2 linked regions of the Saccharomyces cerevisiae S288C genome follow. The protein of the gene in region 1 binds, or shares a complex with, the protein of each later gene. Each region holds a gene or a part of one and is shown in the gene's direction. Other genes may lie near its edges.

Evidence for each region.
Region 2: HRT3 (region 1) and CDC53 share a complex: the UniProt entries of both Saccharomyces cerevisiae proteins name them as parts of the probable SCF(HRT3) complex.

Annotation. Positions count from the first base shown.
Region 1 is NC_001144.5:335,658-339,514, reverse strand, and holds HRT3 (SCF ubiquitin ligase complex subunit HRT3), read left to right. Parts: upstream 1-2,249; coding exon 2,250-3,284; downstream 3,285-3,857. Other genes in the region: CHA4 (Cha4p), read left to right, coding at 42-1,988; serine/threonine protein kinase KIN2, read right to left, coding at 3,482-3,857. UniProt on the Saccharomyces cerevisiae protein: Substrate recognition component of a SCF (SKP1-CUL1-F-box protein) E3 ubiquitin-protein ligase complex which mediates the ubiquitination and subsequent proteasomal degradation of target proteins. Probably recognizes and binds to phosphorylated target proteins.
Region 2 is NC_001136.10:222,114-227,298, forward strand, and holds CDC53 (cullin CDC53), read left to right. Parts: upstream 1-2,190; coding exon 2,191-4,638; downstream 4,639-5,185. Other genes in the region: SRF1 (phospholipase D regulator), read left to right, coding at 314-1,627. UniProt on the Saccharomyces cerevisiae protein: Core component of multiple cullin-RING-based SCF (SKP1-CUL1-F-box) E3 ubiquitin-protein ligase complexes which mediate the ubiquitination and subsequent proteasomal degradation of target proteins.

The DNA of each region.
Region 1 (3,857 bases):
AATAGCCCTTTTAAAACTCGAAGCTCTACACAATCGCAGCAATGATGTTGGAGCCTTCACCTCCACCTTTAACAACAACGGTAACACCCTCCCTTCCGTCCAGTTTAAAGAAATCTGTGACAGATAATGACCAGAATAATAACAACGTGCCCAGGAAGAGAAAACTAGCATGCCAGAATTGCCGTAGAAGAAGAAGGAAATGTAACATGGAAAAGCCTTGTTCAAACTGTATCAAGTTTCGTACCGAATGTGTATTCACTCAACAAGACTTAAGGAACAAAAGATATTCTACGACTTACGTAGAAGCTTTACAGAGCCAGATTCGGTCTTTGAAAGAACAGTTGCAAATATTAAGTTCCTCGTCTTCCACAATTGCTAGCAATGCTCTCTCCTCGTTAAAAAACAACAGTGATCATGGTGATGCTCCTAATGAAAAAATCTTAAAGTATGGCGAAACAGCACAATCAGCACTACCATCATCTGAAAGCAACGATGAGAATGAGTCTGATGCGTTCACCAAGAAAATGCCTTCCGAGAGCCCTCCACCAGTTGGCACAAATAGTATATATCCATCAAATTCCTTGTCTATAATAAAAAAGAAGACGGATGGAAGCACAAGATATCAGCAACAGCAGGTCAGCCTAAAAAATTTATCAAGAAGTCCCCTTATCTTAAGATCGTTGTCACTCTTTTTCAAATGGCTATACCCGGGACATTACCTTTTCATTCATAGAGAAACTTTCTTAAGTGCTTTCTTCGGTGATACTAACACTAAAAGTTACTATTGTTCCGAAGAATTGGTATTTGCAATCGCTGCATTGGGATCTTTGATTTCATACAAATCAGAAACTGAGCTTTTTCAACAATCTGAAGTGTTTTATCAAAGAGCCAAGACGATAGTACTCAAAAAAATTTTTCAACTGGAAGATTCTTCGTTAGCTGAATCGTCGTCCTCTTCGAAATTAGCAATCATCCAGACTCTATTGTGTTTGGCATTTTATGACATTGGAAGCGGAGAAAACCCCATGGCTTGGTATCTTTCTGGGCTGGCATTTAGGATTGCCCACGAAATCGGCCTACATTTGAATCCAGAAGCATGGAGTAATGTTTATGAAGACGAGCTGTCAATAATGGATTTTGAAGTGAGAAGTAGAATTTATTGGGGCTGCTACATTGCTGATCATTTAATAGCGATCCTCTTTGGAAGATCAACTTCCTTGCGTTTGTCCAATTCCACTGTTCCAGAAACAGACGAGCTACCTGAAATTGAGACTGGTATAGAGGAGTACATATATGACCCAAAAGTAATATTGTCCACTGCAAACCCCTTGAAGAAACTGATTGTGTTATCGAGAATAACGGAGATTTTTGCATCCAAGATTTTCAGCCCAAACGAAACTCTACTTCAAAGGAGTGAATACTTGGCCAAATTTAATCTGGAGGTATACAATTGGAGAAGGGATTTGCCCCCTGAACTACAATGGACCAAGAGGTCATTGATGGAAATGACAGATTTTAACCCAACCATAGCTTACGTATGGTTTCATTACTATATCGTGCTAATTTCCTATAATAAACCTTTCATATACGAAATCAAACAAAGCCGGGAATTGGTTGAAGGTTATGTTGATGAACTGTATTATCTTTTAAAAGTTTGGAAAAATAAATTTAAGACGTTTGAGAAGGCCACAATTTACATGATTTATTCTGCGATTTTAGCCATCCAATGCATGAAGTCCAACTTGATTAAAAAGGATAGAAAACAAGACTTCTTAAATTTTTTAAGTGCGCCTACCCTGAATTACGAACTTGCTAGAAAATTCATAGAAAACTCTGAAGATGCTTTGCATAATTCAGAAACTATGGATTTATTAGGGACTCTATCTCACGGTAACGATTTTGCCTTAGAGTACAATTTTGACTTTACTTTATTGAATGAGATTGATATGCTGATTGGTGGAAACACCAATGATGGTTTGTCGAAGTAATCTTGAGTGAAGAGGATATGTTTACTTGAACAAATATTCTTTATGTAATGTGTTTGTAGCCTTTTTATTTGGGAAGGAATATACCGCTATCCTTTCCCACCTCCGAACTTATCGATTCGGAATTTTAAAGAGCCTTCCAAATGACAAAAAAAAGGATTGTAGTTCCTAGATAGCGAAATCGACTGAGCAAGATAAAAGCAAACATTCCCCATCATCTTTGGCGACGACACATGTGTTCCATAAGCTAAACTCAAGGAGCAAATGATAGTAGATTATGAAAAGGACCCTAGGGCTAAAGAGGCTATTGCTATTTGGGAAAAAGGTGTACTGAAAGAGAAGGATGGGTCAATGTCAGATGCTATAAACTTCTATCGAAGTGCATTGAAAATCCATGATAATGTGGAATCACTGTACAGAAAAAAAATACTTGATGAGTGGATGCTGCACAAAAAACTATCGGGATTATCAATGACTACTGATGCTCCAGATGAACAAAATGAAACCGGTAAAGATGACTTATCTGTTGAAGAAAATGCTGAACTTCAACCCTGCTGGATTCTGGAAATCTTGCCTGACGACATTTTACTGAGAATTATTAAAAAAGTTATATTAATGTCTGGTGAATCTTGGGTGAATTTGTCGATGACTTGTTCCACCTTTAGCAAGCTTTGCTTCCACGATTCTGTGCCATTTAAAACTTTCGCGAAGTACATATATTCTAAGCAAATATACGACAAAATGGCAATGGATCTTAACGGAATCACCGATATAAATACCTTTGAAAAGGAAATATGGCGGGGTGATGATTATCGTATGTTAAGGGAAAGGCCATATATTAAATTCGAAGGTGTTTACATCAGTGTAGTAAATTATGTAAGATACGGTTCCAATGCAGAAAGTTCGTTATCTCTTTTAAAGCCAGTTCACATGATCACCTATTACAGGTATTTCAGATTTTATGAGAACGGCCAATGTTTGAGATTACTTTCTACAGATGAACCTAGCGCTGTCGTGAAGCACTTCTCCAAAGAGAACAAACCCAGGCATAGTCATATGTGTTATTGGAGCCTCGGATTTGATTATGATTTTGGTCATTTAAAGATAACAAGGTCAGATGAAAAGTATACGTTTATCGAAGAATTCCAAATCAAGAATCAAGGCAATAAGAGATATCAACGGTTGAAATGGCTAAGTTCAATTGTAGTGGATAAGGAAGGGAATGCATCTAACTGTTCGTTGAGAAATGAGAAATCTTTTTTCTTCTCCAGAGTGAAATCTTTCAAGGATCCTGGATGACATCGATGTTTTTTGCAGTTGTTTTACTTTATTTATTATTCTTATAGATTTATGTAGAACTATTATTTCATCATATGAAAGATTAAAGAAAGCAGATCTCAGCTTAAATAAATTATACTATAATATTAAAAAAAGATAAATATTAGATAATAAAAATTGAAAGACACACGTTGAAATATTTAGTAAGAACAACGTATCTATAGGTTTAATTCTTTTAAAATATACGATGCCAATTCTTTATATAGCCACGTATTACCAGAAACCTTTTTGAAATGTACACCTGCTAGGCCGACGATACGAACCTTTACAATGTGAATCTCAAATTTAATAGGAGGCCTTTCTTTTATACCAGAAGTATTGGTTTGCTCTGTTTGACCATTTACGTTATTTATATTTTGGGCTCTTGATGTTGTTAAAATATCATCCTGTTGTTGAACATAATCTAATGACATGGAAGATAGTTCCCCTGATGTACCATTACTTTGGTTTCCGTAGTTTGGAGACATTGGGATAGATGAATTTCTTTGATGTGTATTGGTCGCTAAAGGTGTTAGTGGTATATTATTCTGGCCC
Region 2 (5,185 bases), on another chromosome or scaffold:
GTACTGGTGAAATGAGATAAGGGTGTACGGGTGTGGTAACCGTCGTGAAATAAAGAAAGCATTCTGAACGATGAATACTAAATAAGGGAAAGTGGAAATAAACGAAGTGTCGAAAGAGGAGAAGAGGTCTTGGCTTTCATATAGTGGAAGAAATTCTAAGCTACAACACAAAGTCTCCAACCACCTTTTGTTTAGTCAATTATAAAAATACTTTGATTGCTATTTCGAAACCGTGAGATTGCTGAGAAGGGAAAGTGAATGATATTTTTTTGCATTTTTTGAGGCGTTCTTTTTTTTTACACTGACAAATTTAATGGGGGATTCTAATTCCAGCCAAGAAGCGTATTCTGATACAACATCCACGAACGCTTCTAGAATCGCAGATCAAAATCAACTTAATTTAAACGTGGATCTTGAAAAAAATCAAACAGTAAGGAAGTCAGGTTCACTGGAAGCATTACAGAATGCAAAGATACATGTTCCCAAACACAGTGATGGTTCACCACTAGACTATCCAAAATTAAATACTTACACGTTTGTGCCTACCACAGTGCCGCCTTATGTTTTAGAGGCGCAGTTTGATAAATTAAGACTTCAGGATAAGGGCACCGTTGATGGAAATGTTACCGATGATAAAAATCTTCCAAAAGAGTTTAAATGGGGCCAGTTTGCATCTACCATCGGCTGTCATTCTGCATACACTAGAGACCAAAACTACAATCCTAGTCACAAATCCTACGATGGTTACTCTCTATCATCATCTACCTCATCAAAAAATGCGGCTCTTAGAGAAATTTTAGGTGACATGTGCAGCGAGTGGGGAGGTGAAGAACGACTAGAAGGTGTTCTACATTCAGAAATAGGTGCCAATTTAGAGTTCAACACGACAGAAGAGAGAAAAGAGTGGTTACAATATATCGAAAAGGTAAAAGATTTCTATTACGGTGATAATAAGAAGAACCCAGAATCACCCGAATCAGTACACAACAAAGTTTACAAGTCAGATTGGGTAAATGAGCTCAATAAAGAGAGAGAAAAGTGGCGGAGGTTAAAGCAAAGGAAGTTACAACAGTGGAGACCTCCTTTGACGTCGCTATTACTTGATAATCAATATTTGATTTTGGGTTTGAGGATTTTCACTGGTATATTATCGTGCATTTCACTTGCTCTGGCAATCAAGATTTTTCAAAACTCAAGATCAAATAACACCATCAGTGAAAGTAAAATCGGGCAACAACCAAGCACCATAATGGCCATCTGCGTCAACGCCGTGGCGATTGCGTATATTATTTACATTGCACACGATGAATTTGCTGGTAAACCTGTTGGTTTGAGGAATCCGTTAAGCAAACTGAAACTAATTTTGTTGGACTTACTTTTTATAATTTTTTCAAGCGCTAATCTAGCGCTGGCATTTAATACTCGTTTCGACAAAGAGTGGGTTTGCACTTCTATTCGCAGGTCAAATGGAAGCACGTATGGATACCCAAAAATACCGCGTATCTGCAGAAAACAGGAAGCTTTATCCGCTTTTCTGTTCGTTGCCTTGTTTATGTGGGTAATCACTTTCTCGATCAGTATTGTTAGAGTAGTCGAAAAAGTCAGTTCAATTACCAACAGAAACTGAGCTCGACAAATATAGAAATTAAAAGAATTCTTTTAGATACCAAGATTGACATTTATATGCATTGTATATTTTTGACTTAAAAAATTACTCCGGCTTGGCATTTATTCATTAACGGCGGGTTTGATTATATTAGGCTTTGTGCGATATAATATGTATTACCCGAAGGGAGGGCTATTGCACTTTCTTTTCCTTTCCGTTTTAAGGGCCCTTTTTCATTTCGATGTTTGATGGACACACATGAAGTGAAATGTGGCAAATAGAACATCTAGAAAAACTAGGGCATTAGGTAAAGTACCCCAGCAGAACTTCACTTTACAACGCAATTGATTCATATCACTGCTCTTTTATATTGTCCTTTTTCTCTTTTAGAGCTTTTCATCCGCATCTTCTAACTTCTGTGCACCCCTTTCATTGTTGATTACATTTTACCTCAGTTACACATTTCTTTTAGCAATTCGACATTGCTTCTACTTACCGATAAATAAGCGTACATTTTTGAGTCTTGAAAGGATTCTTACATATACCTAAACAAAGAATAACAACAAAATCGCAAGCAGCAAAGCATGTCTGAGACTCTGCCTAGATCTGATGATTTAGAGGCCACTTGGAACTTTATAGAGCCAGGAATTAACCAAATACTGGGTAATGAGAAAAACCAAGCATCCACGTCTAAGCGAGTTTACAAAATTCTTTCTCCAACCATGTATATGGAAGTCTATACCGCAATTTATAACTACTGTGTGAACAAATCACGCTCGTCTGGACATTTTAGTACTGACAGTAGAACTGGCCAATCAACAATTTTGGTTGGCAGTGAGATTTACGAAAAGTTAAAGAATTATTTGAAGAATTACATTTTAAATTTTAAGCAGTCTAATTCAGAGACCTTTTTGCAGTTTTACGTCAAGCGCTGGAAAAGGTTTACAATAGGTGCCATTTTTTTAAACCATGCATTCGATTATATGAATAGATATTGGGTTCAAAAGGAAAGAAGTGACGGCAAAAGGCATATTTTTGATGTAAACACCTTGTGCTTGATGACATGGAAAGAAGTCATGTTTGATCCGAGTAAAGATGTTTTAATAAACGAATTATTAGACCAGGTAACCTTGGGAAGGGAGGGGCAAATAATTCAAAGAAGTAATATTAGCACTGCCATAAAGTCTTTAGTTGCACTAGGTATCGATCCACAGGATTTGAAAAAGTTGAACCTAAATGTCTACATCCAAGTTTTCGAAAAGCCATTTTTAAAGAAGACTCAGGAGTACTACACGCAATATACAAACGATTATTTAGAGAAACACTCGGTAACTGAGTATATTTTTGAAGCACATGAAATCATCAAACGTGAGGAAAAAGCAATGACAATATATTGGGATGATCATACAAAAAAACCACTATCCATGGCATTAAACAAGGTCTTGATCACAGACCATATTGAAAAGTTGGAAAATGAGTTTGTTGTCCTTCTGGATGCCAGAGATATTGAAAAAATTACTTCTTTGTACGCACTAATACGCAGAGACTTTACATTAATCCCAAGAATGGCTTCAGTGTTTGAAAATTATGTTAAAAAGACAGGTGAGAATGAAATTTCGAGTCTACTGGCAATGCATAAACACAATATTATGAAAAACGAAAACGCAAACCCTAAAAAACTAGCACTAATGACAGCTCACTCCCTTTCTCCTAAAGACTATATCAAGAAATTACTGGAAGTACACGATATATTCTCTAAGATTTTTAATGAAAGTTTCCCCGACGACATACCTTTAGCTAAAGCTCTAGATAATGCGTGTGGTGCTTTCATCAACATCAACGAGTTCGCATTACCTGCTGGATCTCCAAAAAGTGCCACCTCGAAGACTTCCGAGATGCTAGCTAAGTACAGTGATATACTATTAAAGAAGGCCACCAAACCTGAAGTGGCAAGTGACATGTCAGATGAAGATATTATAACAATATTCAAATATTTGACCGACAAAGATGCGTTCGAAACTCATTATAGAAGACTTTTCGCCAAGCGTTTAATTCATGGCACTTCAACATCAGCAGAAGACGAAGAAAATATTATTCAAAGGCTGCAAGCGGCAAATAGTATGGAATATACAGGCAAGATAACTAAAATGTTTCAAGATATTAGACTTTCCAAGATCTTGGAAGACGATTTTGCTGTCGCCCTGAAGAATGAACCAGATTACTCTAAAGCAAAATATCCAGATCTACAACCATTTGTATTGGCAGAAAATATGTGGCCATTTTCATACCAAGAAGTTGAATTTAAGCTACCCAAGGAATTGGTACCATCTCACGAAAAATTGAAGGAGTCATACAGCCAAAAGCATAATGGTAGAATATTGAAGTGGCTATGGCCATTATGTCGTGGCGAATTGAAGGCAGATATTGGAAAACCCGGCAGGATGCCGTTCAACTTTACGGTAACACTGTTTCAAATGGCAATTTTGCTACTATATAACGATGCTGATGTATTAACCTTAGAAAATATTCAAGAGGGCACGAGCTTAACCATTCAGCACATCGCAGCGGCAATGGTACCATTCATCAAATTCAAACTGATTCAACAGGTCCCACCAGGGCTAGATGCTCTCGTGAAACCTGAAACACAATTCAAGCTATCACGTCCTTATAAGGCGCTTAAGACCAATATTAATTTCGCTAGCGGAGTCAAAAACGACATTCTGCAATCGCTATCCGGTGGAGGCCACGATAATCACGGTAATAAGTTAGGAAACAAACGCTTGACGGAAGACGAAAGAATAGAAAAAGAATTGAATACAGAAAGGCAGATTTTCTTGGAAGCTTGTATTGTGAGAATAATGAAAGCGAAAAGAAATCTGCCACATACAACATTGGTCAACGAATGCATTGCGCAATCACACCAAAGGTTCAATGCAAAGGTTTCTATGGTCAAGAGAGCCATCGATAGCTTAATACAAAAGGGATACCTACAGAGGGGAGACGATGGTGAATCGTATGCTTACCTTGCTTAATCATCTTTGAAGGCTTGTGCTGATCGAACGAAGCAAATCCTACGAGTAAATACATAAGCGTATACATATATATATATATATATATATATATATATATATGTATATATATATATGTGTGTGTGTGTAATTGTGTGTATTCAACTGAACTATGAAGAGTCTTTGACCTCTTGAGAATCTCATAGTATGAAGATATGGCACTTCTCTTTCCGTTGTAACATCCTTTACCGGGCGGCTTTTCGGCCTGCTTGAGAAGAGATCAGGCTGAAATGATGAGACTGACAACAAGGATCAGTCAGTGGCAGAGTTGAAATTCCGCTGGAAATCGTCACCAGCAGCTACCAGCTCCAAGAAATCCGCGTAGAAATCACGTCGCGCAATGTGCGATAGTGGTGGAACAGCGAAAATTAGTCACTTTGCAAAGATGCCAAGCTGATCGTTCTCGTTGTGTGTGATTCTACGATATTGCGCATGAGTGGTGTTGAGCATGCGTTTGTTCGCATTTTCATGCAGTCTCTTATATACTAATATATATATGCAACAGATTTCA